Mytilus edulis: one gene and its partners. The protein of the gene in region 4 binds, or shares a complex with, the protein of the main gene of each other region. Links are inferred from orthologs where the notes say so. Each region holds a gene or a part of one and is shown on either strand. Other genes may lie near its edges. The genes, in order: dynein regulatory complex subunit 5-like, F-box and leucine-rich repeat protein 13-like, dynein regulatory complex protein 10-like and dynein regulatory complex protein 1-like.

Region 1 (8,839 bases), on a different chromosome or scaffold from region 4:
CTTGCTTTGCAGCATCTGTTCCAGTAATCCTCTTCCTGTACCAGATTAGCAGTAATCTTCAAAGGTATGTCAGTGGAGATTTTGTCCAACACTTTAGACTTGTATCTTGGTGGGAGGTCATTCAAAATGGTAGAGTTATCTGAAAAAAAAATGGAAATCAGTTATTTTTTTATGATAATTCATGAAAAACATATGCAGATATAAGAAGATGTGGTATGAGTGAAAATTAGTCAATTCCTAACCCAAGTCGCAATTAGAAAAAGTAAACAATTATACATGTAGGTCAAAGTATGGTCTTCAACACGAAGCCTTTGCATTAATGATATAAATAATTCAAACAGCTTTGTCATTTATATCTAAATTTCTAAGTGTTTTGTGTGATTTAGAGTAAATCAAAGTAATTCATTTTAGATGATTGATCCATTTAACATACCCAAAACTAAAAGCATCCAGTATTTATGTAATATACATCAATTTATGACAACAGAAAAAAAAACCCCAATCAATGTAAAATATATTAAAGAAAGGGGATGTAGTAAGATTACATATGAAATTATCCACCAGATATCAAAGGAAAGGATGTTAAAACTACAGTTCACCTTATAGCCTTCAATAATGAGCAAAAAAAAATATTGTATAGAAAACTATCAAAGGCAAAAGTTAGTAATATTTTCACCACAATTTTCATTATAATTAAAGAATGAACAGTTTCTGAGAATCGGCTTTTATCCTAAAAGTAAGTCAAGGTTATTGTAATTATGTTTAACATTTTCCTACTGTAAATGTATAATTATTTTAGAAATTTATGATATAAAACTATTTGCTTACTATCAAAATGTGTAACTATATGTTTGATACACAAATCCACCAGTAATGGGACAGTTGCCAGTGAATATGCTGGATCTTCAGCTATAATTCTCCTCATCTGTCTCCAGTCAGCTGCTGGATTATCTCCCCTAACAGATCCAGCAGGAGTTGCTGCCATAGCTGGTCTACCACTACTCTTCCCACTCTTCCCTGATTGAGCAGACCCAGCTCTAGATGGTTGTTTAGAACCAGGCTGACTTTTTGGTCCACTCTTTGTACTTTTGGCATCGTCATCAATTTTATCTTCCCCTGTACCATCTGTTACTGCTGGATCAGACATCTTGGCTAAAAATAATAAATCATTGCAATCAGTTTTCATTTAAAAAATAATTATGTAAAAGTTTTAACAAATCTGTGCCTCTTAGACACTGTAGTCCTATAGCTTATTAAATTAAACTGGAGAAAAGTGTACTACAACTGCAAATGTTAGGTTTATATTATAACTCTCCCATTACATGTATGTTAATTTTACATGATCTGTAGTAAATTTTCTAGCAAAAAGAGGAGCCTAATCCAGATACTACTTAAATTGTATTTCAATATTTTTGTTAGCATTGAAACCAACTGAAAATATCTATAAGTTAATTCAAGCACTTTACCTGTATACATGTACGTGGTATATTTAACTTAAAAGGAATAACAGTCAGATCCACTGCAAATGAATATTGACTTACTTTTTTTAATGAAAAATGTAATTAGGTTATTTGTTTTTAAATCTAATTGGAAGTTCTGGTCCATGACATGTGACAGCTTATCAAAAAGTTTTCAAATTTTGTCACTAATTAATAATTAGTGTTCACAAAATTGTCATTTTAAAAGACAACAATCACAGTTAATTAATTATGAATTTTACATCATTCACAGAAAATATAACAACATATTATTAAAGCATTACAATGTATAAATGAATGTGTTAAACAATTTGGTGTAGTGAGTCTATTTATACCTTAATTCTAAACTAGCTTTTAATATTGTAATTTGTTGATAAAAATATGAAGACAAAATTAAAGTTAAATAAATTCAATATACCTTTTATTTGACCAATTTTGATTTCAACATCTAATAGTTTTTTCTCTGACAGTCATTTATTATTTTATTTTTGATCAATTGCCAAGCTATAGGTATTGTCATGGTCAATTTATACCCAAAAAAATGCTGAGCTCTTTGACTGCAGAAGTATACAGGGGTGATTTTTAAAAATTTAAATAAAGACTTCATCTACAGCATTTTCAATTCAGAATGTCATAACTTAAATATCGTCACAAATAAAATCCTTAACAACAGAACCAAAACCGAAAATCAGAAACCTTACAGTATTTGTGTTTCTTTTTATACAGATTTTGAAGTTAAAATGTTTTAATTAAAAAAAATAATTCATACAGTCTTTGTCCCTTTCACAGGTAATGCCTGTCTCATATCATTTAAAGCTGTCTTAAGATGTTTGCATTTGCCTAAATGAGTGTGGTTTTGTAAAATTAATCTTAATGGCTATTAATTTCAAGATGTGAGTACTTGTTATGAATAATATATGACAAGAACTAGTCATTGTTAAGGATAAAGCAACATATTTGAAATTCCTTCCATATTGTTGGAATTGGTAGTCAGATCTTGTACCCCATCTGTATAGATGGTACTACATGTATATAATATACATGTAGGAGGGTAGTAATGGGGGTACCTTCATGGTGTATAACAGTAAAAATTCTTGTCGTATGAAGTTAACAGTAATTTTTAGTGCATGACGTTAAAAAAAACCAGCTTAATTTGATAAATCACTCTGTTTTTTTTCTCCAAATATAACAGTAACGTTAAATATTTGAGACATCTGACAAATTACGATAAGGATATTTTGACGAATAATGGTAAAATTTTAACCAATTTGACCCTAATGGTAGCCGTAAATGACTGTTTAATGCCTGAAGGTAAAGGGCATTACAACCCTCATGTAGGGTATCGGGAGCGTTCCCCCTTAAAACATGTTCCCCCTAGGTCTGTTCGTTCACCCATAGGGTTTGTTCGCCCTACTATAAAAATATTAATATTGAGGGCATTGAAGTTGAATGAAAATAGATATTTCTATGGTATGTACATGTATATAATATTCTTGAAATTTATTGAAATATTTAAAAGTTTATGGCTTGTTTAGGATAATTAATTGTTCACTGACAAAATAATTTGAATCACTGATTATTGTGTCATACTTGTCTTTTGGCCGATTAATAATAAAAACAAATCTGTTGTTTTGATAAAATATTCAGCTTGAAATTAATAAAAACAATGATGTACAACTGTAAATTATGAAACGGATAAAATTTACAAGTTTATTTATTTATACTCTAGTCTATAAAGACTAGTCATACTGCCATACATTCGTGATTGACTGAATACAATCATTTTGTTAACAATTTATATCAATAAAGATGAATACATTGTATTCCAGTATTCTACTCTGCAAATCAAAGGGAAAATGATAAATTGATTGCAGCAATATAAATATTCTGTAAATTAAAAAAAAAAACCAAACTTTAACATATTTTGTTCAAATACTTAAAATAATGCGACTAGACAAAAACTAGAAAAAAATAAAAATCAGGGCGAACGGACCCGGATTCCTCAAATAGTAGTACATGTGAGTAACAAAATATTCTGATACTGTGATGACTGATGTCAAGCCCAAAGGTTTGTGATAATTATTTGCTCTAATTATGTTACACACTATATACAGAAACGTCTTTGATATAAGAGTATATTAAGACTTATTTTGCCATTTAAGTGACGCAAAAGTCTGAACATAGAATAGAATTTACCAGTTTACTCTGCAGTATGATCTTCTAAAAGCTTCTCGTTACTATGACAATCCGGAAGTAGATTTTCAAGCGAGTTCCGTATCCGGTGGAAAAACAAAATGGCTGCGCCCATCTGCAGGTTTTCTGCTGACATAGTTTTTCATTTTCATTTAAATATATCCCATTTCATATGAATTCAGGTATATTGAATTAAATGTAAAGTAGATAATATGAGGCAGGCATTACCTGTGAAAGGAGACGAAGTCTGTATGATTTTTTTTTGTAACTTCAAAATGTGTTAGAAAAGAATAGGAAATACCGTATAAACGCTCTCCGATTTTGGTTCTGTTGAAAATCACCCGAAATTAAAGATCTTATATACAACTGTACCACGATTTCCCAAGGTAAACAAGCGCACAACAAACATTTACAGGACAGTCAACCTAATGATGGTGGTCACTTTAATAGTGGTAGAAGCACAGCACAGGGGCTTGTTACAATAAATTTGCCGGGTTTACTATCCATACGAAACCCAAAAAAAAACACAAGGGAGGAAGCTCATTTGCGACAATGCTTCAAATTATTGCTGTAAAATTTTTCTAAGACTTTCACTTCCTTTGTGAACTGAATAAATCTGTTCCCACTTGAATTATCTCTGCAATGACCATGATGACATATATTTATTACCTTAAGTAACCTCTAATATGAGGCAGGCATTACCTGTAAATGGGGACGAAGTCTATAGGAATTATTTTTTTGTACCTTAAATATTTGTTAAAAAAAAAAAAGAAATGGAAATACCGTAACGTTTCCCGGATTTTGGTTCTGACCTGTTGTTAGGGATTTTAGTTGTGACGTTATTTAAGTAATGACGTCATATACAATGTAAACAAAGAAACGCTATCATCAGGTAACGTTTTTTCATATCGAGGAATTATAAAAAATGAAATTGGTATTGCGTTCTTTCCTATTTTATACAAGACTGATAAATATATATTTTACTCAAAGTTTCATACAAACGAGACCGGAAAAAGGAAGTACATTGTAGATTTCTGCGCAGATCTGGAAATTCAAAAACGCGACAAAAAAAAAATTGAATGATTTTGAGTTCATTAGTACAATGAAAAAATTTTCCCGATATTTTTTTTTTAATTTTTTTTTATTGAATTTTCTACTGTTATTGGGGACTTCGTTCCCATATAACTATTGCAGTCCTTAAAACAAACTTGACATTTCTGAAATAGAACGAATCGAGGCCCTACATTTGAAAATGAAAGTACTAAAGTGACACCTACCGGAAATATATTTTCAGCACTCTCAGGTATTTACCATCAATGTTATGTTTTTCGGAAGGCTAGGTATTTTAGATTTCAATAATGTAAAAGTTGGCGGGAATTATTAGGTACACACTGTCTTTCATTGTCATATTGTGTTAAACTCCCGAGAGAGACGAAAATATATTTTCTGGTATATCTACAATATTAGAATTTCTAAAATTATATTTACAATCTTTCAATACTACTTAATCATGTAAGCATGGTGGTGACAATTTATATAAAATCTTAAAACACTCAATAGCCATGTTACGCATACGTCTTATTTTCAATGATGGAACCTTTGCTCGTAAAATTAGTTCATCATATGAACTAACATAGTCTTCATATATAAATCGTAAAGCCCTTTCCTGAATTTTTACCAATTTGGTGGTGTTATTTTTGTTGCAAAAATGCCATGCCAAAGGACAAAAATTAAAATTAGATAAAATAAATGTGTGGAAAATGGTAAATTTATTCAATTTAGTAAGGTAGCAGCCAATGCGCTTTAAAACATTCAGATGTTGGGATGCTTTACGACAAATATTTTTAATGTGGTGATTAAAATTAAGTTGATAGTCAATATCAATACCTAAAAGTTTGACAATCTCATCACAGGATATTTTTGCTGACTGTATATATCAAAAACGGGCTTTTTTGCAAATGTTTTATTTTCAACTGCAATGGCTTGGAATTTGTCAGGATTTGCCTGCATACAATTAAAACTAAACCAGTCAATTAAAACAGCACTTTCTCTTTCAAGTGTACATAATAAATTTTCAAAATTGTTGTCTGCATATGACAGAGTATTATCATCAGCATAATTATATAGGGTACCATGTTCAATAAAATAGAATATGTCATTTATAAAAATATTAAATAATAGGGGCCCCAGGATTGAGCCTTGGGGTACCCCTTTCTGGATTTCATCCCAACTGCTGAGTACTCCCTGAAGTTTGATTTGTTGCCTACGATCTGTAAGATAATTTTGAAGTAATTTCACTGATTTAAAAGAAAGACCGTAGGCAGATAATTTACTTAAAAGAATATCATGTGGTAAACAGTCAAAAGCTTTTGAAAGATCCATAAGAATAGCTGCCACATACATATTATTATACAGGGCTGTTTTCCAATCTTCAAGGAGTCTCAGCAAAGTTGTCTGACATCCATGACCTTTTCTGAATGCACATAAAAAAGCATGAAATATATTCTCAAAAAATTCAGTCAACTGGTCAGACATAACCATTTCATATACTTTTGAAATTGTTGGTAAAATGCTCACAGGTCTATATTTCTTTTTATCCAGTGGGTCATTATACCCCCGCTTTGAAAAAAAGGGGGGTATACTGTTTTACCTCTGTCTGTCCTTCCGTCAGTCCGTCAGTCTGTCAGTCAGTCCGTCCGTCCCATGAATATTTTTCGTCACATTTTTCTCAGGAACTACACTACAAGGATTTCTGAAATTTGGTTTCAGGCTTGATATAAGTCAGCTATACTGTGTGATGCGTTTTTAGATTCATCAATCGCCAACTTCCTGTCTACCGAACACTTGTATGATTTTACACATGATAGCCAAGTTGAAAATTTTCGTCACATTTTTCTCAGGAACTACAACATTTGTACAATACAAGGATTTCTGAAATTTGGTATCAGGCTTGATATAAGTCAGCTATACCGTGTGATGCGTTTTAAGATTCATCACTTGACAACTTCCTGTTTACCGAACACTTGTATGATTTTACCCAAGATAGCCAAGTTGTGAAAATTTTCGTAACAATTTTCTCAGGAACTACAATACAAGGATTTCTGAAATTTGGTTTCAGGGTTTATATAAGTCAGCTATACCGTGTGATGCCTTTTCAGAGTCATCACTCGATAACTTCCTGTTTACCGAACACTTGCATATTTTTACACTATTAATATTATCCACTTGTGGCGGGGGTATCATCAGTGAGCAGTAGCTCGCAGTTTCACTTGTTCTTTTTGTGTAATGGTACAACCTGAGTTCTTTGAGTCTGTTTGGAAACTCACTGGATTCTATGGTGTTATTTATTAATGTTGTTATGTGTTTGTTGAGTACTGCTGCACCAGCTCGTAGTAGTTTAGTTCATATCTGATCTACGCCAGTAGCTTGTTTTATATTGATCTTTTTCACAAGTTTGTTTACTGTGTGAACATGTATAGGTTTAAAATCAAAAGGTTTATCATGTTGTATGTGAGATTTAATTTTTAAAATACTGGGGTGTTTTTTTCTTCAAAAATAGTACCTTTGCCTATGTGTGCACTCCAGCATTGAACTGTTTTGTCTGAGAAGTCAGATCTCATCTTCTGCAAAAAGAAATGCCTTTGAATGTTTCAATTGATAACAAACTGACATATAAACATAACAAATACCACCAGTAGGAGAGTTCAAGTTCAAGATAAGAAGTACAGAGACCAAGAGAATCAACGAAAAAACGATTGTGGTCAATATATGACTAGGGTTAATACATTTTGTAATATAACAGACTAAATCAATGAAAAAGACAAAAAACTGTCAGAACAAGACTCCATTATAAAGCTTAAGTCCATCATCAGATACCATGACAAAGCCACTTGTCTTATTGTATACACAGAACAGCAGTTAGAAGAGATCAAAAGGTTGTACTGTTTTGGCCAATCTACAGTCATGACAGTGGGTAGCGATAAAAAAATAATTTATGTGACATGCAAATGACCGCCTTATGCGTCAAACAGACTGCTGTAAATATGGAAACAACTTCAGAACCCTCCCATTTTTTCTCGGACCCGTTATTACACATGAAAATAGTGACTTTGAATGTTTCATCAATTTTTTTAACTATCTAAAAGTAAAATTTCGCGGTGTTGAGAATTCAAACCGGTCTTAGGTTCTGATGAGGAAATCGGATTAATAAATGCAGTTAAAGAAGCATTTCCTCAATCTGGCAAAATGTTATGTACCTACTATTTACGTCTAAATGCTGAGCAGAAATTAATAGACTACACTGTTGATAAGAAAGACAGAGACATGATTTTGGAATCCATCTTTTGGAGATCTGGCCTTCTTACTGTAGATGGTGTAATATGTTTTGAAGCAAAAAGTGAAGAGATAGTAAACAAGAACTAACTTTAAAAAAGATATCCGACGTATTTAAATTTGAGTATATGTTTAAAACTATCATTTCGATAACCTTCAGAAGCACAATGACTTAATGATGCAGGACCTCTTTAATTAAATCTCCATCTGAATGTAACTACAAGTTTTCTCTGTTTGTGTTCAGTATTCTCGGTCCTTGTATCTTTCTGTTTACATTCACCAAAACCCCACAGAAATCTCACATGCGTAGGTGCGTTATAAAAGTCATGTACGTTCGTACAACAAAGTTAAAAATAATATAATTGTCCCGAATAAACAGCTGTCATGGATGCAAAGAGCTATTGGAGAAACAATTATTTTAATAAAAATATAAATCTTTGTAAGATCTAGTTCAAATATTTATAGTTTTTCACTTGCTTTCCATCACGATATAATTAACGAGACGTTTTTTCAAACAAAACCAAATCACCCACCATGACAGCATTTTGTCCAATCACAGAAAGGATTTTCGAGCATGTGTATTCTGTTGCCATAGTTAAGCGTCCTTAAGTTCAAAGGGCACAAACCGAAACTATACCGACTACGTCGGAAAAATCCATGGATTCTACAAACACCTTTCATAGGTATTTTGAAAACTGTTTGAAAAAAAATGTTCAGCAGCTATGGGAGATATCCCTGACCGCAATTTCAATAAACCATGGACTAAAATGATAGTGAATCACTAAACCTTGTGCTAAAAGACAACAAAGTGTCTATTTCAAGTGATGGCAAGAAGA
Region 2 (7,993 bases), on a different chromosome or scaffold from region 4:
AATCGATTGCTGGGAAAGTGGAGAAGAGCTATACTTTTTATATAGTCGTCTTTTTGTTTTTATATCCAAAGCACAACCATCCTTGGTCACATATTATCCTTAATAAAAAAAACTCCTACCTGGAACTTGATTGACCTCGTTAGGCCAGACAATATTACTACTCAATGTAGTATGTTTCACTGTATGGTGACCATTGCTTTGAAATGTTTGTACAACAGTTCCAATTGCTGGTACGAAGTACACGTGATCTGTAGTAAAAGGTGCTCCATTAAAACTAGACACAAACAAGGAATAATCGTCGTTTATTCTCCCGGTATCCTGTGTTCGAATCAAACTCAAAAATCCTGGATGGCTGACTGTAAAATTGCCAATGTATTGTAAATTGTATGCCGAAATGAGCTGCATTGAGAAAATTAATGTCATGGTAGCAATACAAATTTGTTTCGATTCCATGTTTGGTATCCGATGGCGGTTGTGTTTTAAGTATAACTGATTATAAATCAGTGCTATTTGTATAATTATTTAGAATGACGTTTACATATATATTATATATAATTATCCAATCACACTTTCTTATCCCGCACTGCTTTGGTAAGAAGTTCGACGTACTTGGGAATCATGCCACTTTACTATATATACGACAATCTTAGACTAGAAGATTAGCCTAGGACATAGCATAATTTGTCCGATAGCTGGTGTGTTCTAATTATGTGTGGGATATTCGTCAATGTGGAAGAACATAAAAAAGACAAAAATACATTTGATAAAAAAAAGATGCAGACTTAGGGACGATTTAATGCTTGTGATGATTTAAAATGTGTGGGTGTTTGTATGTAACTGCATATTTTTATTTACATAGTGTTGTGTTTAGTACTTTAAAGGTAGATTTGCTTGACCATGAACCTTGTAGGTATGTTCCTTGCTATCATCTGTTCCAGACATTTCCCGCTGGATCACTCTTGTACTGGCCTGATCATTGAACTCAAATAAAGATAAAAAAAAAAAGGGTTATATCGTTGGTAGCATTACCATTTTCTTTATCGTAGATATATTCATGAAGATAAAAGTTTAAACTACTATACTAACCTTAGTTTTCCTCTGTTTTGTCGTCACCTTGACAAAAAATGAATTTTCTCAGCATGGTTTATGGAAATGATTGTCTCTAATAAATACGTCATTCCACTTTGACCATACTAATATCAGTTATCTAACACACTTGTCCTTCTGTAGTGCATTCCATGACTAGTAAAGCACATCTGATAAGATTAAAGTAATGTGGTATTAGTCATTTTCTTATTTCAATGAATGTTTTCAAACATCTAGAACACTAACATATTTTTGGTAAGTATTTCAGGTTTGAAACTTGGATTAAGATTTGTCCCATTGGCACTCATACCACATCTTATATCTCCTTAAAATGTTAATTGGAAGAATGAAATTTGCAATGAGATTTGTTGCAATTGTTCCTTCATGTCTCTTAAAGTTTAGTTACAGTATGTATAATGGACATAACACGACTTTATAAGATATTTCATGTACACCAGTTCACAAACGTATGTGCTTAAGCTATAACTAAGATTGCCATTCACCCTCTCACTCACAGAGACTTGGTTAGCAGATTAGAATTTTGTTTGTCAATGTTTTTTTCAAATCTTTTTTAGTTTTTCCTGTCTATATATTTGCTAGAAAATATTTATGCTAACGTTAAAAACGTTAATAATGTAATACAAATAGACTAGAAATACAAAAAAAGATTTGGAAAAAAAATGCTAAACAAAATTTTAATCTGCTTACCAAGTCATTGTAATTATAACGAAACTTTTGTCTTGTTTAATTTTTGTTTAAAGCTTTACATACAGGAATAAATCAATAACTATGGTCCAATATTTCAGTGCAAAAATCTTTAAGATTTCATGACATAATATAAATAGTTCATTAAGTTCTTTTTGTTACTAGTACTATAAGTGCTTAGTTCCCATCGCGCTCGGGACTCGAACCCGGGACCTCTGTGTTACAAAGCAGCGCGGCATAACGACTAAGCTAAAGAAGTACTTTCTTAGCTCAACCGCTCACGGCTGACTAAGTCTCTATCACAAGTATTATGCCATCTTTGCATTTATCTTATTAATGCATTTACTAATAAAATCAAATAATATGTGAACAATTAAAATTCCGGGAAAAGTATACAGATATGTATGTATATATATATATATATGTTCAATATGATAAAAAAAAATCTAAGCCAACGTTGGATTCAAAGATCGATGGAAAAATATTTATAATAAAACTTCTTGTACTCTTACGTGAGGGGGGGCAAGGGGTTTAACTGTTATGCTGTTATGGGGCAATTTAATTCTTTGTTATCTGTTATTTTGAAAATGTATTTGCTGTTAGCTGTTATTGTCTTATTCTTTGTTAGCTGTTATTGGGCTTTTAGTTTTTTTGTTATCTGTTATTGTGATAATGTATTTGCTGTTAACTGTTATTGAAAATTGGAATGTTAGCATTTTTTTTGACAGTCAATATTCGGTATAAATTGAAGATCATTGGCCATTGGGGTCTAACACTACTAATATGTTTGTCCTGTATTCAGAGAAGGATTCCATTAACATATACCCATCTCAGAAGTGAGGTCCAGGACAATTCAAGTATATCTTATGATTATCCTTTGTAATAAATTCCATTTTTTTTTTATGAATGTGTATTTAGAATTATCTTAATTTTTTGTATGAGAATAATGTTCCTTGTTTTCCGTACGAACATATTAAATTAAAACAATTCTTAATATGACAAAAAGGAAAACATATGGCTAGGAATATCTGACAAGGATCTCAATTAAGGACTAGGTCCTAACAACCACTTAACCTTTTATATAATATGGTACATAGACACAGCTCTGTAATTCTTTTCAAAGCAGAACCAAATGCATTGTACAATGAAAGTTCCAACCATGTACTTGGGTCCGAAGCTGCACATAACTCATTACAAACAAAGAGTTATTTCGTTTCAAGTTATTGTTTCCCTATTAAACTATGTATTCTACTTACTAGTACATTTGGTACAATCAAAAACCTCAGCTGATAAAAAATTGTTCAAATAAGGCCTTTGAAAATAGTGGAATAAATTGCTTTTAGAGTGTCAAAATTCGTTCAAAGTACTTGATAAATTGCATGCTTATAATTGGTGCTTTTGATTTTTCTACCCTATATACCACTTTGCCTCATAGTTTTATTAAGGAAAATTCACACACCTCATTAAATGGTCATTTAGAAAAAGTCAGAATATTCAAACTCTTTTAGGTCACTTTTTTGATTAGCAACAAAGGGAGCCTCAGTCAATATATATATATAAACAATACACCAATGTTTCATGAGAACTGCTGAAAACGTTTTTGTGTTAATGTCTGAAAACTGGAAAATCACCCCTTTTTAATTAATAAAACCCGTTAACTCGGAAACGTAAAATCTAAAATTTATAAAAATTGAAAGTGACCTCATGTTAATAGATATAAACGATAAATTCACCAAAATTCCTTGCTTTGTGAAAGCATTTTTGAGATATTATCAGAAAACTGAAAAAAAAACACCAATTTTATTGAATAAAAACCCATTACCCAGAAACTTAAAATCTAAAATTTATAGAAAAAAAAAGAAAAAAAAAAAGGGAGCGTCAATAGATATAAACAATTTCCCAAAGTTTAATGCAAATGGTTATAGAGTTTTTGAGTTAATGTCCGACATGTTGACAACAGACGGACAACAGTATACCATAATACGTTCCGTAAACGAGAGTATACAAAATATTATAATATATTGAGTAGTAATTTAAACATATTCTAGATACATAAATTAATACTAAAACATAGTCATAAAAAATGGAATGCATTACAAAGGATTATATCCGTAATAAGAAATACTGATTTGTCAAAGACCGAATTATTTTAATATTTCATTTACTGTTATCTGTTTTTGTCCATTTTAATTCCTTGTTATCTGTTATGAGCCAAATCAATTTGCTGTTTTGCTGTTTTTGGGACCCCCCTTGCCCCCCCCCTCTTACGTGACCACTGTCGGGTTTGGTTAGGAGAGGGTTGTGATCCCGCTAACATCTTCAACCCCGCCACATTCATAATGCAAGTGTCTGTCCCAAGTCAGAAGCCTTTAATTCAGTGGTTGTTTGTTGATGTGTTACATTTTTGTTTTTCGTTTATTTTTTTTACATAAATTAGGCCGTTAGTTTCCTCGTTTAAATTGTTTGCAGTATGGAATTTGCTCATTGTTGAAGGCCGTACGGTAACCTATAGTTGTTAATTTCTATGTCAGTGTCATTTGGTCTCTTGTGTGGAGTTGTCTCATTGGCAATCATACCACATCTTCTTTTTTTTATGATATTGACAACGCCAATGCCCATGCGGCAAAAAAAAAAAAACACAAAAAAAACAAAAAAAAACAAAAAAAACCTGACAAATAATAGTATACAAGACACAACACAGAAAACTAAAGATTGTGCAGCACGATCCCCACCAATAATGTGGGATGATCACAGGTTAAGTGAAAACATTTTTGTTTTAATCTCACTGATTCAATTTTGAAATTCCTGAAACTCTGATTTTGAAAAATAATAATTTTAGTTATTTATGGAAAACTTTTAGTGTGTCCAAGTTTGAATAAGTTCCCCCTCCTAAAAGGATATTGTCTATAATATGTTCCATAATAAGAAGGAAATACATATACATAGAAGATTATTCCACAATTCCTTCCGGAAATTGCAAGGTGCGCTACGCTATTGACTTGAATATTATAATCATTATCCGGGATATTTCGTTGCTACACAAACAACATGGATTCCAAAAATACGATAATTTGATTTATTTTCAGTTCACGCTGCTTGTTATATAAAGTTCCGAAAATGGCTGCATCTATGAAATCCTCTAACCCTGAATTAAAGACTTATCTGCGGTCAAATAAGTTACCAGATGTTTATGAGGTATGCATTTAAAGATGCAATAAATTTGGCTATAACTTCATAAGATCATTTTGTCTTTTATTTGTATTGTTTAAAAAAATGACAGGTGACAAGTATCTTTAATATAAGCAAAATGTCCTGGTCCTGACCATAATGTCAAATCTGACACAACTTGTACTTATAGCATTGTTCCTCACATGGTACAAAATGTACAGTGACGACTGAGACGACTGATGTTATTTATACTTATAGAAAATTTCGTACAGTAATTTATATAGTTTTTTAGATGCAGAATAGAGATACAGGGCTTGCAAGTTCTTGAAATGGTGCTGTACTTCCTATATGTGCTTCTACAATTTGAGACCTATTTTGTAGTTTTATTTATTTGTTGGTGTTTCTACTGATTTTATGATGTTTGGGATGTCAAACAGCATAGCAGGACCCATTATTAAATAGGTTTACTGTGCATATGAGAAACATAGAAAAAAGAAAGCCTGAGATACTTAATTTCACTACCATAAATATACATGGATGTACCAGCGAGATTAGAAACTGCAATATTTGGATCTGCAGGCAGTACGTGCTCTCAATGAGCCAAAGAAGATCTCCAGTATTCTCCACTGACTAGACCAGCTAAATCAGTAAATGTAAACTGTTGACTCCTTTTGTATCTCCAATTATGCATCACACTCCATCCTTTCTTCGTTTTTAACAGCCAATCATATATGAATTCTATTTGCTGCACACCCTTTTGGTGTTGATGGCAGAATTATCTTAGATTGTTTCAGTTCATTGATAACTTTTAAAGACAATAGACCAGCGTCACCGGAAAAAACCTCGTCAATTATGTGTGCCTTTATGACATCATTTACCAGAAAGAGGGGATCGCCTGTATCCCTACTTCATAAACATTCATCAAGCGTCTTAGTGATCATCAGTGTGCATGCAGGATAAACTAAAAATAATGTTTGTTCTTCAGGTACTTAATCGCAATTCCCTAATGGCAGCAGTGCTGAAAGACAATTCTGAGAATTCAATTTGCCGAATAATTCGTGCAATATAGCTTTTTATCCTGCAATTGGGTGTTCTACTATACAGATACAGCCCTACAGATATCGCTATGCTGTATCTGTATACTACATGTATACAAATATCACTTTAAAGCTCCACCCACTGCCGACTGAGTATTGTATGAACCTGCATGACCTCAGAATGTGTATTGCAGTCGCATTCCAATGACGTATCAATTGCGAATTAACGATTACTTTTATACATTCTGTTTGTTTTCACACATTTCTTTAGAGCAATAAAAATGGCACCAGTTTTCTGATAACATACACACATGATGTCTTTTCTAAGATGACAACTATCGATTTCAAAACTTGAATGTGTATGATTGTGTAACAAAAATAACCATGTCAATTTCAGTATGCATGTTTAGCTAATGTCGAATCTGAAGCATAGGACAACTCATACACTCCTGTTTCAAATTGGACAATGTTTTGTTATTTGTTTTTACTGTTGAAATAAGTTGTTATGTTATAATTATTCACCTTGAGCGATGTATTACTGTTGACCATTCAAGATTCTTTTTTTGCGAAACCGTCTTCAGCTGAATGTGTGACTACTGTATCTTATTACTACACGGGCTGAAAGGGATTTCAAATAGAAAATAAATGCAAAACATGTGTTTTTGTGTCTTTCAAAACACAAATTATATACAGAATTAATTGCAGGATAAACTACAATAGCTGTTGAGTGTCTTTAGATATCAGCTGTATTTGTACTCGGCTCGAAACAGGTGTAATAGCTCGCTAAAAGCATGCATACACCTTGTTTCCTAGCCTCCTACAAAAACTGCTGATATTTAAAGACACTAAACAGTTATTGTCTATATAATTTTCCAACCACTCGCTCAACATTAGATGGAAGTGACGACACCCCTAAACGCAAGAAATGCTGTTCACTAAAACCAAAGTTTCTGAGGGAATGCATCAAACTCGAAAGTTGTCTATTAAATGAATTTATAGCATGACATATTATATTATATAAAAACAAAATTACAAATATATTGTACCTCTAGAAGGCTTTTTTTAAATTTGTTGTTGAAGTGCTTTCTTGTTCAATGTTGATATTAAATCATGATTCTTTTTTTACCATTTATCAACTCTTTTTATAGGCACTACTCACTGGACTTGCAATTATGTGTCCTGAAGATCCCTTACAGTTTTTACTGGACAAACTCAAGTTTCTGACTGAAGGTGGTCTGGAAGAACTTAATTGGTATGTATATACATATGTACAATAATGGACAATTTACAACAGATTTTGATTTTGCCTGTCAATCAAGTTATCTTTGCATATTAAAGTCTCCTGTTATTAATCCTAACTGATCTTGACAAAAATTTATGTATTGTGTGTTGCAATGCATAACAGCTGTACTGTCTTTCCATACATGTACAAGTTTTCAAGGTATTAGGTTAGGATTGTCAAATAGATATAAAACTTTATTTGTAGAAAAAGTTTATTTACTTTTACATGTATACATGTTACGATAAGTGGAATGCAGATGAGTCATCTTTTCAATTTGATTTACTGGTAAAATAAATTAATATACAAGTTTGTTGTTTTGGAGGTGTCAGACTGTAATTGTATAAAAGGATAAAAGTAATTAAGACTTTCAATTATAGAAAAAGTTTGTATACTTGAATTGTAAATTAATACATGAAACCATTAGTCCTTAAAAAAAAATATGATGTTTTTGTATAATAATGAAACTAAGGTGGGAAATAATAAACTTTAAGGTAATAAGATTTTATTGATATGTATATTTTCAGGGATATGTTTGTTGATGAAGGCATGAGACCTGTAGCTAAAATAATCACAGAAAGTAACCTGGATTTTATATTCAACCTTGATGATGAGAGTATGATTGTATGTATCTAAAGCTTTTATAGAATAATGATCACATATAATCATTTGTTGTCCTAATAATTAATGTTTGATAGAATATATTATGTTAATAAAT
Region 3 (8,490 bases), on a different chromosome or scaffold from region 4:
TTGCTTTGAAATGCATTCAAACTTTTCTATGCAGTCTTCAACACCCTGCTTAGTAGCAGTTGTAGGTGAATTCAAAGTGTAAAATTGAGAATGGAAATGGGGAATGTGTCAAAGAGACAACAAACCAACCATAGAGCAGACAACAGCCAAAGGCCACCAATGGGTCTTCAATGTAGCGAGAAACTCCTGCAACCCAGAGGTGTCCCCCAGCTGGCTTCTAAACAAATATGTATACTAGTTCAGTAAAAATGGACGTCATACTAAAACTATTTATTTCATATATGACTGAAATTACCTGTCTCTCATTCATTTCGCCATCATATTTCTGAATTAAACCTTCAACTTGTGACTCCACCTTAAACTTCATCTGTTAAATATAAAATAATATTACTGTAATTTAAGAAATTTGTAATATACATGTAAAGCTATGCAATCAGGAGCCAATTAGTTGTTCTCTGTCTGCCAATTTTTGGTTCATATCTTTTATCGGGCTGATATTTTTTTCTTCATGTCATGCTTTTATTATGTTAATCATTCTCGTAGATAATAACTATATAAATCTTAAATTGCTACAGTATTTGATTTACAGTGGCCTTTGTTTACATCCACTATCTTTGTTTTCGAACGGATTGTAATTGTCTCATAATTATACATTTTAAGTACATGTACACAGTAATCATATACCCAATCTTAATATTTTTAAATCAGAATTCAACATCATGTGAAATCTGAATATATGTAAATTTTTCAATGATAAATTCAGCTAAATTCAATGTATGCATAATCATGCTAATGTCATCTTTGAATTTGGTACCAAAAAATTGAATAAATAGCAGTTTGAAATGATAAATGTCATTGTATTGGTTATTTTTATAGGCCAGTTATTATATTATTAATACTACAATAGAATTATTTTGACTTTGTTCAACAAGATTTATATATATCTTGTAACATAATATGGCATTTTTCCTTTGAAGTTTTTACGTGATATTCTGCTTAATAGTTCGGTTTCTGAAAAACCATGGTTATTATAGAAAGATTGATATGTTATTCCATTAAAAAAAGTCATGACATACTTTGTGCTTGCAACTTCATGTAGATAGGTGGAGTTTAGACTATGGTTTAATCTGATATTTTTCATGTTAAACCATGATTTAAACCCTGCCTCTTTGTTACGACTCTGTTCTGAATGAACCGGCTGATTTTCGAAAAAATTGACTGGATTGATTTTCACGTGCACACGTTAAGCAGGGGGCTGGAACAACATTCCCACTGGGTTTTTATTGGATAAAAAATCACCAGGCCACTTTTGAATGATGTTACAAAACATATACACCACGCCTTACTCATTAACATATTTACATGTATAGAACTCATCCTGCGGATTCGTCGTTTAAATATGCTAACTCGTAAATAGCATTGTATATATTATACTAATGCTACATGTATGTATTTGAGATATTTACAGCATCAAAATGTATCTTACCCTTCTTAGATCTTGTTCCTTTTCTCTATGCTCCAATACAAGGTTTTGAAGCTGGGTTTTAAGTTGTACTATTTCATTCTGCAGCCTTTGTACTTTGCCTTCATGGTTCTTTTTATCAGCTGATTCTTGTTTGTCCTGTTCATTCTTAATCCTTCCTATATTTTCTTTGGAAAAGTTTATAATCTGTTGTAACTCTGTCTGTAGCTTTTTTATTACATCATTTTTCTTCTTCATCTATAAAAGAAAGAAAGAATCTTTATACACACATGTTTAAAAGAAATAATCTAGCTGGTATCTATGACATGTATGATATGAAATAATGTGTCATATCATTATACAATTTATATTATTATAATGTGTTTAAATTCATACATACATGTATACATTTTGAACTTAAATAAAATAATGTGATGTGCAATAAATAGAACTTCTTGCCAACCCCTATTACTATAACACAAACTGGTCAGACTATAAACATCACTAGGCGCTGTTAATTATGTGTATTGTCATCATATCTTCTATAATTTTCTGTATAACTATTACTGTTGACAATAACTCTTTTACAGACTACAATAATTTGTTTCTGCTGTTTGTGCTACATGTACATGATGATTGTGAGTATATATTGCTAATTTATTCACACAATTTTGTGGTGGCAACATATACATGTATCTGTAGTTGAAAGTCATTAAAATTTTAAAATGTTTCTCTTTTACAATAAAGGTTCTCTTTGCAAAAGTTAGACATCATTGTAAACCAAGTGAGGCAAATTATAGTATTCTTTTTAAATTTTATGAGACATGTTTGATTATATATAGTTTTACATGTTTTTGAGTTTAAAATATTGATTCAAGAATCTTAAAAAAAATTCAACTTCTGTAACTTTATAACTAAAAATGGAGAACATTTTATCATTGAGAATGCCAGTATGATTTGAAATACAATAATTCAGTGCTCTTAATAAATGCATATCATCCACAATGTATCAATAAACATGATGCATGTAGACTGACATGTTGGAGTCAAAAAATTTGCCAAGTATTTTTAAATCCATCTAAATATTATACCTCTTCTTCCTTATCAGCAACTGCAGCATCAAGTTCTTCTTCCATCTTTGCAATGATAGTAGCATTGTTTCTCTCTCTTTCTGAAACTTCCTGGATGTAAGCCATTCTCTCTTTTTCTTCCTCAGGTGTTGTTAACAGTTTATTCAGTAAGATATCTCTCAAATCATTCATGTAAGATAAAAGCTGGGTACTCTCTTTAGGTCGTGCATGAAAGTGGGTCTTAACAGAATTAAATGCACTACCATTTATTTGAAATTGTCTGAGAATGTTTTTGCATGAGGAACTAAGTTGCTGAGCTACCAGACTCAAATTCCGCATTGTACGTTCTGTTTGGCTGTCAAAACTAGCAACAGAAGGATTAGATCTTCGACTGCTAGCACTACTACCTCTAGATGGAGGCTTATTAACAGGACTCTGTGGGGGACTTTGGCCTCCATAAACGGAATCTTCATCTTCGTCATCTTCAGCAGTAGGTTGAGTTTCATTCATATCATTTTGTTGCTCTTGTGATGCATCACTTCTGACAGAACTGGCTGATCGTATTCTATTCCTTTGCATTTGCCTATCAAGCTGTTCTTTGATCTCATTGTAACTACCGATTATAATACTGTGGTTCTCTAGCAAGCTGCAAAGTTCTACCCCAAAGCTTATTCGAAATCTGTCCAAATTTTCAAGAATGTATGGGATCATTGAGGAAATTTCTATTCTTTGTATTGTGTCCTCAAATACTGACATAACACGCTGTGCTTCAACTGTGGCTATTTTTTTTCTTGCAGGTTCTAATGCCCTCGCTGGATCTAAACGGAGTCTGTTTCTTATTTTCCCTGGTCCTCCTTTTTGAGGGGGTACGGGAACTGTTAGTTTCATGTTTAAAATTGGCTCTGTGGCAATTGAACCTGTTAATGTCTGTGTTCGCATTGCTGTGGTGGCCATTTTCGCACAATATAACGGCGATAACAACGTTTACAATAGGCTTATATGTATATAATTCCTAATTTACATCGTCAACATTACCAATTCACTGTTTATCGGTCTTGCAGCCGCATTACATTGAATTTGTTTAATACGCATTCCCTAGCAACAAATAGTACTTCTACAATTTCTGTGTCTCTCTTTTTTGAATAGCATAAATCTACAAAATAGTTCGATGAAATGAAAAATACAGTTTTAAAAAAAAGAAAAAAAAAGAAGATATTAGTCTCCTAAGGGAATAAAGCAAAAAATGTTGCTCATGATTTTATTAAGTTGTCATGGAACTACTTTTAAGCGGAAATAACCTTTGTTCGGAATATTTTTAGAATACACATGATACATTCGCAATCCTCTATACTTATCCTTGATTATCAAAAATGAAAACAATATGGCGGGTAATATTGAAAGTCCCCTATTAATCAGAAATGAAAATGGATTTTCACCCTCAGGTATTTATTATTAATGTGCATCTCTTTTTGAAACACTTAAGATTGACTATTTATACTGGCTAGTGACATTGCATTTTAATTGCTACATTGAAAAAATAGTGTTGCGGAAAGTCAGTGAGATAATAGTTTATTTTTGAGTAGATAACAAGGGTTAAATTAGTCCAAATGAACCAGTGATAAATAAAACCTGACAAGTTTGAAAATACACAGTCACTTCCATGATCCAAAGAAAGAGACGCACAGCCTGTCAACTGTCACAATATACCACACTAGTCACTAATGCTTAAGCATGAAAGCAAATTTACAAAATTTTGAGAAAATTGATTTGGCAGGTAAGATTCAATTATTGCAGGGTGTGTTTTTATTGGGTAGTTTGATGCCCTGATGTCAGTGTCGTTTCCTAAGACACATTAATTTGGTTTCCAGACAATAACTTTAGTTTAAGTGAATAGATCTGTATGAAATGTATTCAGAAGGTTCAAATCCACAAAAAGGAAGGTTAGGATTTATACACCTTATCGCTATTCCCGGCTGACCCGTCCGCTTGAACTTTTGACGTCAACAACAATCACTTTTCCATTGTGGCGTCAGACATTTTGTTTTATGAAGTCAAAATTTTACGGGAACCTGTGTGATTTCCAGCAATAGCGATAAGGTGTATTATGGGGATGATGGTCCCAACCGTTTTAATAGATAAAAGGGGCCCAAAACAAGCATTTTTCTAGTTTCAAAATAATTTCTAGTGTATTAAATATTTTGATTGCTCTGAAATTGTACCACAATGTTTAATACCACAAGTAGAAGGCTGGAATTTATTTTGCACGGTTTTGGTGCCAACAGTTTATAAACCTAAGGGCCAAAAACAAGTATTTTTGTAGTTAAATCCAGGCAATAACTTGTGTTTAAGTGAATGGATCTCTTTGAAATTGTACTACAAGGTTCCATACTACAAAGGAAAGGCTAGGATTGAGTTTGGGGGTAATTGCACCATTGTGAATTCGAAAAGATAGAGGGGGGGGGGTTCTCTATTTTTTTTACATGTAGTTCAAATTTTTTTCAAAATTTTTCAAATTTTAAATTTTTTGAAAAGTTTCAACAAGAAATCTTCAATTGCACAGGGTTGCACAATAAATTTGTAAGATCCTTGTCAGACCAATTCTATTTCTGTGTCAGAAACGTAATTATGTAAAAAAAAAAAAAAATGATCAAAATTCAAATTCAGACATTCTCAAGCTTGAATTTTGTGTCTAAATTTGCTAACTGTTCAGGAATCGACATCTGGGGTCGTTTCAGGTTTATATATAGAAACCTTTGATCAATTTTAATGAAATAAAACTATACATATCAATAAGATGTAAAAAGCTCTTCGTTGTTCAGTAATAAAAAGTATGATGCCCGAGGAACAACAGAAAAAAGGAACGGGCGTCAATAAAAAAGGGCGGAAGCTGCCCTCTTCAAAGGTTGTAGCTAGAACACTGTTTATTTTGGTTTTTAATGTCTATTTCAGATGAAGACCAATATGATGTTCCATCAAACAGAATACACAGTAATGGTGACTCTATTTATGATGTAAACAATGGTTTTGGATCTAACCATCAGATTTTGGAGGGCCAGGGCACTCCATACCATGCCATCACTAGACGACATAAACAGTATAAAACTTGGGAACTGAATTACCAAGAGGCAGCTATATATCTGCAGGAAGGGGAAAACAATGATAAATATAGTACACATCCCAGAGACTTTAATGCATTGCCAGCATATAAAATTGCTCACAAGAAAATTTTCTATGCTTTAGACTTATTTGCAGCACTGCTGGTAATGGGATTAGCTGCCTGTGAACGACCAGCAGTGCCATTTTTAACTCTCCCTGTAGGGGTAAGTTACCATATAATTGTTAATTGTCAATGTCTTTTTAATTATTGACTGGTAAATTCAACAAGCATTTTCCGAAAGCTCAAGTCTTTTGATTATAAAAATTTCCAGCAAATTTAAACTGAGTCTTTTATGAAGGGAAGGAAAATACAGTATCATTTTCATTGTATGTTTTTCATTGCCTTTGTAAGATGTGCTAGTCTTATTCTTTAAAAAAATATTGTAAGTGGTCAGATATCAACTTTTAACCATAAATAATTCAAATCATGACAGAATCATGAAAATCAGACTGAATAAGCAGAAAGCAAGCATAAACATACATGTATATATAAAGCCATTTATTAGTTTTCTCAATTTAATTTATGAAATACCTTTGTCCAACAATAACATAGATTATGGCTCCTGGAAAATGTACAGTTAAGTCAGGTATAAAATGTGTTCTTGTATTAGATGTATTTTACAGGTTCATGGATCACTGGAATTGTTTGGGCTTTTGATATTAGCGTTAGAATTAGGAATACGCATGAAGTGGCTAGGATTCAGAACATTCATCAAACATAAAAGAACTCTTATAAAGGTATGTAGATTAATTAATGATTTTTTTTTGTATCAATAGAAATACTTATTTATAGACAAATGATTATTTTTATGCCCCAGTTTTTCTGTGTGTGCGTCTGTTCGTTTGTTACTCCTTTCGTTTGTTTGTCCTGCTTCAGGTTAAAGTTTTTGGTCAAGATATACGTAGTTTTTAAAGAAGTTGAAGTCCAATCAACTTGAAACTAAGTATACCTGTACCCTATGATATGATCTTTCTAATTTTAATGCAAAATTAAAGTAAGATTGATGCAAAATTTCAAGGTCCACTGAACATAGAAAAGGATAATGCGAGTGGGGCATCTGTGTAATATGGACACATTCTTGTTTTAATGATAGTGCAAATTTAACTGAAAGTTAGTAATAAAATTATTTTTCAGAGTTGTACTTTGATCATCGTATTTATAGAGACTATAGTTGTGATAATACGACAGCATAACCATTTTAGAGTCACAAGATCACTGAGGCCATTGTTTCTCATAGATACATACTACTGCAGAGGGGTCAGAAGGTATGTTTGTTAATATTAAATTTTACCATATTGTTGAAGCGATTATTTGTAATCATGCTGATAGAGGGGTCATTGAATATACAGCAGTATAATATTGTGTGCTATGGAATTTTGGGGAGAACAATACTCTATTATGGTCAAGGTACCCATATTTCATGGTTCACTGGTTTGACACATTGTGTAAATTTAAGTTTTACATCAATCAGAGTTCAGGTTTTAGACACAAACTGACTTCTCACTACATTGAAGACCTGTTGGTGACCCTCTGCTGTTGTTTTTTATTTGGTCGGGTTGTTGTCTCTTTGACACATTCCCCATTTCCATTCTCAATTTTATTACAATCATATAACTTGTTTTTAAGAATGCATTTATATTTCACTGTTTCACAGATTCAAACATAATTATGGAAATGGATTAAAATAGAGTTTTCTTTTCCTTCTAGATCTTCCTAAAGAACAGTTATTTTAAAGAGTTCACATCAATCTTAAGTGTTTATAATTTCCCTCTTAAACAAACACTTGAGAATTTAAATTACTTTAGTTTCTCTGAGTGACAGGAAGCAACCAGTTAAAATAAATATTGATTAAATTTTATCCTTATTTTCAAAATTCCAATTAAATTTTAACTGAACTAAAATTATGTACTAGCTAAGTGTTTTATAAATAAAGTTCAAGGATTTTCGTTTCAATCTAGAGCTTTTATTATTTAATATTTTAAAATATTCCAACAGAATTTACAGTTTGTGTCTAATATTATTAGCTCACATGGCCCAAATGGGCTATTTTAATCACATGTGTCTGTTAACATTTGCCAAGATCTCCTTTGAAACTACCAGTCTAAATGGAACCAAACTTTGTAACATTCATGTCAAAATATGTTGAATAAGGCTTTACCACCTGTTTTACCTTTTGTCATGTGTATATTAGCTGTATTTGGCAGAATTTTTGGGAATTTTTGTCTTTAATGCTCTTCAACTTCGTACTTTATTTGGCCTTTTAAACTTTTTTGGATTCGAGCGTCACTGATGAGTCTTTTGTAGACGAAATCCGCGTCTAGCGTATATGCAAAATTTAGTCCTGGTATCTATGATGAGTTTATTTTCTACATTTAAAAGCTGAAATTGTTTTGTTTTGTATTTATTTCAGAACATTCCGACAGATTTTACAGTCCATGCCACCTATTATAGACATGTTGTTGTTGTTATTGTTTTTCATGTTGATATTTTCTATATTAGGTAAGCTCTATATTACATCTATAAGTAAGCCTATTGAACCCTAAAACTTTTATTATCTTATTGAGAGTGAAAAACATCACCTGATTGAAATTTCAAACTGAGACAGTATTACAGAAGCAAAAACAACATAAAAGCAATGAACAAACAATTGAAGATCAAATTAAGATGTGGTATTATTGCCAATGAGACAACATTTTGCCAGAGACCAAATGAAGTTTTGAAGCTGAAGTATGTAAATAGGTCAAATTTAGACAAGAAAATTCAATGTATATGTGGTATAAACTAATAACATTTCCAATTTT
Region 4 (8,514 bases):
AAATCTTACATTTTCAAATTTTTCAGCCATTGTCTTCCCTTCATGCTTAAGTTTACCATTTCTGAAATTAAAATGTTTCATTATTTTTGACACAATAGAAAATAAATTAAACATAAAATGTGTGAACGTTTTCCTTCCTCTGGTTAAAAATTCTATTAACAGAAAATATGAAGATCACTTATTTTTTCTATTAAAGTAATTTTACAAAAATTAATGTATATCATTACTTACATTTTTTGTAGGTGATATATGGGATCATGTCAGTGACATTAACATTTAAAAGGGGCCAGCTGGGGAAATTACTAACTTCCTATAACAAGGTTTGAATGCAAGATGGGTTTTCTAAGCACTCATCTTTTATTTTCACAAGTTATTTAATTTATTCCAGAAAACCTTTAATTAATATCTTCTATGTATGGAGAAAATAAACAATTGGGAAACATGAAGTAACTTTTGATTATTATACAAAATGAGATTTGAACCTGCAAGCACATGTGGTTTATTATTTCTGATAGTTTTTACCTGTCCTGTTTTTTAACCTCCTCGTCTGTTCTCCTGGCTGCCTCCCTGGCATCACAACCAACACGTATATTGGTGACCAGTTCAACACCATCCTCAATTAACTTAGTTAAACGAAGTCGACTAGCTTCAATTTGTTTTCTGCTCTTACTGAGTTCCTCTTTGGCTTCTTTTGCATCGTCTAAATCTTCTCCTCTTTCAGCCCTAAAATATAAAGCTGGATTAAATTTTGCATTATGTCTCAAAATAATCAAATTTGCCCATGGTTAGTTTTTTGTTTTCAACTTGTATGACCTAAGAACAAAAACAATGGAAACTTGTCATACATGTCATAACTTGGTTCTCAGCCAAACATCAATACCTAACTAAGCCAAAAAGACGCAATCATTACAATTATGCACTATTCCTGGTATTCCAAATCAAACAGAGCTCTAGAATATTTAGTCGTTTTAAAATATTTTGAAATTTTGTTTCTGTTTTGAATTTCATGAGAAAAATCCTTTAACAGAAGAATTTGTTTACATATACTTATTCTTTTTATGTGCATTTATATTTAATTTCTATTTTTCTATCATGTTTTCTCTTACAGGGACTCATAGTGTACATCTAATGTGCAATATTTATTACATATTTTTAACTAATAAATTGTATACAAATTAGAAAATGTTGTTTGCCATACACCTAAATTGTGACCTTATGGTTATTTGGAAATCTGAGAATCTCTTCTGCTTCAACTTTTGATGTCATACATCATACAACAATCACTTTTCTATTGTTGCATCAGATATTTTCTATTAACTTTAAGATGTCAAAATTTTACAGGAACCTTTGTGATGTCCAGTAATGGCAGACAAATAACTATCTTGATCTTGATAGGTTTACGGTGAATACATCCAAGGATATTAATACATTGTGCGTATGTCAAGTAATTTACTTAAGTGGGACCCCCTTTACAATTTCACTAAATGTTTTAGCTGGTTCTTTTGCTGTATGAATTTTGAAGAAGATATCTGGTGGTAGTAGGTTCCAGTCTTTGATGGTATTTGGAATGAAACTGTATTTCTGTTTTCGTTTTAAGTCTGAGGAAATGTTGGCTGTGCATGTTCTTGTTTGTCAGGGATGGTTTTTTCAGTTGGTCAGATGGTAAGTTTGCTTGACCATGTATGCTTTTGCAGAAAAGGATCAGTCTGTTTTGTGTACAGCAGTCTTTTAGTGATGGTAATTACAGTTCGTATCAGTCTTTTATATGCCTGGAGTTTAACTTCAAGTGGACATGCGGATAGATTTCTTTTTAGTAAACCTTAAATGTCCTATAAGATTTATTGCATATCTCCTCTATGTGCTTTCCCAAGTGTAGATCATTTGTGATGTTTACTCAAAGATATTTTATAGATGTTGTAAATAGGAGTTCCATATTTTTTAGAGTATACTTAAATGTCAGATGTAATTTTCTTCTTGCCACTCAATGTCATCAGATCCGTTTGCATTTAAGGGGGTCTCATTGGGGGTTCTGATCCCAGATCCCGCTTACTGTCTTGTCAGTTAGCAATTCTCATTTTTATTGTAATTTCCCATGGCCACTAGATTTAATTTCCTGTTTTCAGGACACAAATTGGAATTTCATGTGTCACGCTTACAAAAAATCGGCAATCCTGTGTCACTCTTAGACCCCAATGAGATCCAGATTTAACTGGTTGAAATCTCATACCCCCCAATTTGTCGCCCAGTTACCAATATAAGGTGTATTCTCTTCACTGAATTCACAAAATCGACAATTACCGATAATTTCCATGTATATTTCAAGTTTCATTCTCATCACAGTTTTTAATAAAACCAGATGCAGGTCCTATTAGCTTATGAATATGTCTACATATCCTTGCATGCAAGGTCGCGCAGACACTCAGTCTTCACGATGAACTGCTAAATCTACAGGCCCGGAGCTCAATTTTTGAAATTTTTTAGTTAGATTCTGTTGCCCTGTAGATCTGATTTTAACAGGCCCGAGAGCAATTTTACCAGCCTGGGCTGCCAGCCTGCCACTCAGTGTGAAGACTGGACACTACCAAAAAATTGCCAACATGCTTTAAGATTGTTGTCACTGACACTGTTGAAAAGCAGACAGAAGGTCACAGACGGCACCTGCTGTATATTAAGAAATGTTTGTGTAAGATCTTTAACTGATATAATTTGTGTTTATGCCTAAACTTATTAAAAATTAATGAGTTTTGAGAATTATGACAATTTCATAAATTATGTTGACATGTGCTGAAGATTTATAATAACCTCTTTGCAGCTTCTATTCTACGTGTGATCCGCAATCTTCGGGCTGCAACTCTCTCCTCCGGATTTTCAGAATCAACAGTTGGCCCTTCATTATCTGAATCCCCATTTGAACTCATGATTTCGGCACAATTTTTAAGATCTATCGTTTAGTTGTTATTGTTGCTATGAAGGTTCCGGCCATTGATCACGTGTTGTTGTACTTCAGGTATTAATTTATCTATATTTTAATTTATTTTATTACAAAGTTGTATTTTTCTGTATAAAATTAACTCAAAAGTCTTTAATTTACATTATTTAAAATTATAAATTAATTCTATGAATTGAAAGGGTAAACAGGTCAACTTCCTTTTCCTGTTGTTTTCATCATGGCGGTTAGTCTACGAATTTTACATGTGATGAAATCTTCCGTCATCCTGATTATTTGATTAATAATAAAAGCTAAACACACCTTTAAGTCTCTTAACAAGATATCATAGCTTGATTATAGTTAATTGTCTCATTTATATTTTGTAAAATAAGGTGTACAAATCCAAAACAGTCGACGTGGGTTAAACTATGGTAAAAATATATGTTTGATGTATTGCCACATGGTAAGGAGTAATAGCAGACTGTTTAAAATGAAACTCTCCCATTAGAATGTATTCATTCTTTGCATGCTTGTGTACTCGTATCAAACCGTGAACACAAGCGAATGTGATAATATTAATAGACAACCCCCTTGGCTTGTTCAAAGTACTCAGCATCAGCCATCACTACTATAAGTAAAAGTCTTAATTTACAGGGAACATCGTTAAAAAATTAGTGAAAACGACAAATTGTGCACATCAGAGTTGTCAGATTGTTGTTTACACCTTAACTATTTGATAAGAACTGAGAAATAGAAATACGAACACTTTTGTCTTCTGTCCCATGGTTCAGTAGTAATAAAAGAGGGTAGTAATGACCTTTACCGCCAGACTTCTAACTGTTTATTTGCCTCCCTAAACATCAAATTGGGTAACGATTTCCTGTGATTTGTCAACATATTTAATGATGAAAGTCAGAGGTCTCAAATTATAACTAAATACTGGAATTTGCTGTGCAACTATTTGAGTCCATGCAGAAGATAGTAAAAATTAACAAATGCACACTAACTTGTAAGATCATATATATTGTAACATTGAAGAAATTAGAATAGCTTAGAAATTTAAGATGCTAAGTTGCAATCATAATTTTCTAGTCGCACAAATATTTCTATGTATAGTTGTTGTGGTGTAAACATGTAGTCCCAAAAGGTCAATATAAATATTTTAAAGTGCATGAAAGTGTTCTTGCTATAATTTTATTTATCAAATGTTTTCTTTGTTTATCTTTTCAGGATAAAGACAAAAAGAAGAATGTTATGCGAGATCTTAGGATCGTCAAGCTCTGCATTAATATTTGTGTTGGTGAGTCTGGTGATCGACTTACCCGTGCCGCCAAGGTGCTTGAACAGCTAACTGGTCAGACCCCAGTGCTCTCAAAAGGTATTGTAGGATTTCTTAACAGTTAAATCAATTGCAAATAATTCTTAAATGCTTAATTTATAACAAACGCACTTCAAATGTACATAGTCCTATTTATAATCATCTCATTCAGATCTGTATGTGTCTCAAAGCTGCCATATGTTCAACCAGATTCATAATAAAAAAAAAATCTGCATTACTAGGTTTTACTCTTGGAAACTTGTTGTTATTGTAAGATTTTGTAACCAGTACAGTGGACAACAATGAAAATATGAACTGAACAATTATACAGTTAGCTGCATCAACTTATCCATCCAATATAGCTAGTTCTCTTTAAACATTTTAAAACTATTAACCAGTTTTATTTCACACTGAATATGCCTATCTATGGCAGAAGAAGCCAAAGATAATCTGCAGACCCCTTGTCTGTTATATTTTTTGCCTCTTTTAGTTTGCTGTTGACATATAATTCTCTTATAAGTGCATCTTTAACAGGTTGGGAACAAACCCCCTGTATGGTGATTATACCGGTATAGAGGAATAATCCTTCTTTAGAGGGATAAAATTATCCTTCTATAGAGGTGTATTTTTGTTTGCACTGGATTTAAAGCAAATTAGGGCAGAATGGCATTTTCTATTTATATTGGCTATAATCTCTAGCATTATATGCATCAACATATGCACTTTACTAAAAATTGGGATAACCAGTTTTCTACTAAAGTGACAAAACTTGCAATCTAGTATTGTTTACCTATCTGAACACCTGATCAACAACAAAAGGAATAGTTGATCTTTAAATTTCATGTGAAATATATCAATAGAAATTCTGTTCAGTGAGGCATAAGTGAGTAGAATTTACCTGATCATCACAGCTTTTAATCATGGTGAACAATAGATTTTATATTTAGTCAGATAAGCATCAAACTGGACATGTGCATATTAAATTAAGTACACCAATTGGTGCATCAACTGTTCCAGGTTACTGCCATAATAAGAAAAGAATGCCATTCTGCCCTATTTTGATTTAAATCCAGTCTAAACAAAAATACCCCTCTGTAGAGGGATAAATTTACCCCTCTATAGAAGGATTATCCCTCTATACAGGTATAATCACCATATAGAGGGTTTGTTCCCAACCTGTTTAATGTACTTTTAAATCCTTATGTACATATAAATCATGCACATTGGCACGGGTTACAGGATAGTTCCTGTTGCCTGACTAACTTTGTGCAACATCAAAACCATAATTGCAACTCTTGTCTATTCAATATAGTAGATTGGATACTAAATTTATTTGGACATTATACTTTGTAAAAATATTTGAACATGTTATGAAATTGGTATAATGTTTGTTTTAAAAGTAATTGTCTTGTTGCCATAATGGGTACGTGATTTGAACATTGAAAATTCTCTTTTATATTAAATATTCTGTTGTTCTTTCAGCACGTTATACCGTCAGGTCCTTCGGTATCAGAAGAAATGAAACTATTGCCTGTCACTGTACAGTACGAGGCGCTAAGGCAGAAGAGATCTTAGAAAAAGGTTTGAAGGTACATGTGTTTACTTGTTCGATTATACTAAGACTGTTTTTGTTCGATTATACTAAGACTGTTTTTGATTGTAACAAGTTTTAAGTTGGGCTAGTTGAGATTTGAAGTGACATTAATATGCACATTGGCACGGGTTACAGGATAGTTCCTGTTGCCTGACTAACTTTGTGCAACATTAAAACCATATTTGCAACTCCTGTCTATTTAATATAGTAGATTGGATACTAACTAAATGGTACAGGATATACTCAGAGATGCAACTAATCGTCGGACCTGTCAGACCTAAGGGGCAGAATTTATGCAGGTCCGGCAAAACTCGTTGCTGTGCAGGACCTGATGGCCGTCAATATTTTAGTCTGCTTGGGTCAGCCAAAACTTAATTCCCCGTCGGTACTGGCAGAGTATTTTGTTTATAAAATTGTGAATTTACAACCACGTTGCATGATTAGATAGAACAACATTCAAGGCTTCGATTACATAATAGAAATCGGGAGTTCAAACTGTTTTAATGATAACTATTATAGCCTGACACCTTCCAAATATCCTTCCTTAAAAAATAAAAATAAAACCTTTTGCAGTATAAATTTCAGTTTTGAAATCGTATGTTTGACATTGTTAATTTATTGAAATATTTATATCAAACGCAGTTATTTAGTTGTAACAGAGAATACACACCATTGGTTTGAAAAATGACGTAACTTTAACCTCCGTAGCAGAGTTCAAAAAATCTATGGGTCACTGAATATTCACAATATATTTTATTTTTTAAACTTTTCTTTCAAATTAGTTTTAATCCAGAAAAAAGTAAAAACATTGCCTGACTGTACCTTAAGTTGAATATCTATATCCAAATTCAATTAATTAAAGCTGTAATCCATGATCACAAATTGAATGCTTTGTTTACAATTGTTGAAAGCCATGTGCTTTTTAGCGGGAAAATTCGGGAAACCCCTTAACAGGAAACAGTTACATTTCATTGTTATTTATAGACATATTACAAAGTTTTTACATTGATTATTTTGAGTGAAAATATAGGTCTGGCAGAAATGTGATGGGTCTGGCAAAACTTCGTACCCTGTAGGCCCCAATGTCTGACAGGAAAAAAAAACTGTTTGCATCTCTGTATACTATAGAAGTATTTATTGCTGATAGACAATCATTCTGCTACAGCTCCAAACTGTCTTAAGTAATGTACAACTCCGTTGAAATATTGATCAAAGGTGACACATTATCCAAGGTCTTCATGAGTAAGAGTTCTTGATATGTTGTCAACCTTTGACGATTTTTATGGTTACTGTGTAGGATTAAATAGTGTCCCCCATGAAATTATGTCCCATGGACCAAATTTCATGGATATGATCTATGAAATTTGGTCCAGGACATAATTTTATTATAAAATATTGTCCACCTCTATGTAAAAGTGTCCCTTGACAATAAATACTATTGTGACCTTCGTTGGACATTTTTTCATAGTGAAATCATGTCCATATTGCATAAAAGTCTTGTCTAATACCAAAAAATTTATTTAACAAAAAATAATAAGACTAAATTGACATTTGTATTTAAATAAGCAATAGGAATCTATGAATTATTTTTAACATCTTTGAATTATCCTTTTTAACAAGATCAATAATGTCAGGAATAATATTCATAAATGCTTGATTGCCGTTTCTTCTTGCGCATATTACAAGTTTTGATGTTTGCTCTTGTGTTTTTTTGTCAACATGTATATAATACATTTCATTGTTATACGACCGCAAAATTTGAAAAATTTTTCGTCGTATATTGCTATCACGTTGGCGTCGGCGTCGTCCGGCGTCCGAATACTTTTAGTTTTCGCACTCTAACTTTAGTAAAAGTGAATGGAAATCTATGAAATTTTAACACAAGGTTTATGACCACAAAAGGAAGGTTGGTATTGATTTTGGGAGTTTTGGTCCCAACATTTTAGGAATTAGGGGCCAAAAAGGGCCCAAATAAGCATTTTCTTGGTTTTCGCACTATAACTTTAGTTTAAGTTAATAGAAATCTATGAAATTTTGACACAAGGTTTATGACCACAAAAGAACGGTTGGGATTGATTTTGGGAGTTTAGGAATTAGGGGCCAAAAAAGGGCCCAAATAAGCATTATTCTTGGTTTTCGCACAATAACTTTAGTTTAAGTAAATAGAAATCAATGAAATTTAAACACAATGTTAATGACTACAAAAGGAAGGTTGGTATTGATTTTGAGAGTTAAGGTCAGTCACAATAGTTTAGGAATTAGGGGCCAAAAAGGGACCCAAATAAGCATTTTTCTTGGTTTTCGCACCATAACGTTAGTATAAGTAAATAGAAATCTATGAAATTTAAACACAAGGTTTATGACCATAAAAGGAAGGTTGGTATTGATTTTGGGAGTTTTGGTCCCAACAGAATAAGGGGCCCAAAGGGTCCAAAATTAAACTTTGTTTGATTTCATCAAAATTGAATAATTGGGGTTCTTTGATATGCCGAATCTAACTGTCATGACTGTGTATGTAGATTCTTAACTTTTGGTCCCGTTTTCAAATTGGTCTACATTAAGGTCCAAAGGGTCCAAAATTAAACTTAGTTTGATTTTGACAAAAAATGAATCAGTTAGGTTCTTTGATATGCTGAATCTAAAAATGTACTTCATTTTCAATTGGAGTTATCT

Evidence for each region.
Region 1: dynein regulatory complex protein 1-like (region 4) and dynein regulatory complex subunit 5-like share a complex: the UniProt entries of both Homo sapiens proteins name them as parts of the nexin-dynein regulatory complex. The link is inferred for Mytilus edulis from reciprocal best matches to the Homo sapiens genes DRC1 and DRC5.
Region 2: dynein regulatory complex protein 1-like (region 4) and F-box and leucine-rich repeat protein 13-like share a complex: the UniProt entries of both Homo sapiens proteins name them as parts of the nexin-dynein regulatory complex. The link is inferred for Mytilus edulis from reciprocal best matches to the Homo sapiens genes DRC1 and FBXL13.
Region 3: dynein regulatory complex protein 1-like (region 4) and dynein regulatory complex protein 10-like share a complex: the UniProt entries of both Homo sapiens proteins name them as parts of the nexin-dynein regulatory complex. The link is inferred for Mytilus edulis from reciprocal best matches to the Homo sapiens genes DRC1 and DRC10.

What each region holds. Positions count from the first base shown.
Region 1 is NC_092346.1:62,498,297-62,507,135, reverse strand, and holds the start of dynein regulatory complex subunit 5-like, read right to left. Parts: upstream 3,752-8,839; 5' UTR 3,675-3,751; intron 1,153-3,674; 5' UTR 1,148-1,152; coding exon 829-1,147; intron 140-828; coding exon 1-139. UniProt on the Homo sapiens protein: Component of the nexin-dynein regulatory complex (N-DRC) a key regulator of ciliary/flagellar motility which maintains the alignment and integrity of the distal axoneme and regulates microtubule sliding in motile axonemes.
Region 2 is NC_092344.1:89,673,561-89,681,553, reverse strand, and holds the start of F-box and leucine-rich repeat protein 13-like, read left to right. Parts: upstream 1-4,809; 5' UTR 4,810-4,908; coding exon 4,909-4,986; intron 4,987-7,144; coding exon 7,145-7,248; intron 7,249-7,802; coding exon 7,803-7,899; intron 7,900-7,993. Other genes in the region: uncharacterized protein, read right to left, coding at 120-453. UniProt on the Homo sapiens protein: Substrate-recognition component of the SCF (SKP1-CUL1-F-box protein)-type E3 ubiquitin ligase complex.
Region 3 is NC_092349.1:64,491,646-64,500,135, reverse strand, and holds the start of dynein regulatory complex protein 10-like, read right to left. Parts: upstream 3,616-8,490; 5' UTR 3,487-3,615; coding exon 2,554-3,486; intron 1,721-2,553; coding exon 1,487-1,720; intron 368-1,486; coding exon 296-367; intron 1-295. Other genes in the region: two pore channel protein 1-like, read left to right, coding at 3,914-3,974, 5,482-5,852, 6,313-6,426, 6,824-6,954, 8,100-8,188. UniProt on the Homo sapiens protein: Component of the nexin-dynein regulatory complex (N-DRC), a key regulator of ciliary/flagellar motility which maintains the alignment and integrity of the distal axoneme and regulates microtubule sliding in motile axonemes.
Region 4 is NC_092355.1:22,110,533-22,119,046, forward strand, and holds the start of dynein regulatory complex protein 1-like, read right to left. Parts: upstream 3,001-8,514; 5' UTR 2,919-3,000; coding exon 2,803-2,918; intron 724-2,802; coding exon 523-723; intron 62-522; coding exon 10-61; intron 1-9. Other genes in the region: large ribosomal subunit protein uL5-like, read left to right, coding at 3,168-3,194, 4,160-4,307, 5,730-5,836. UniProt on the Homo sapiens protein: Component of the nexin-dynein regulatory complex (N-DRC) a key regulator of ciliary/flagellar motility which maintains the alignment and integrity of the distal axoneme and regulates microtubule sliding in motile axonemes.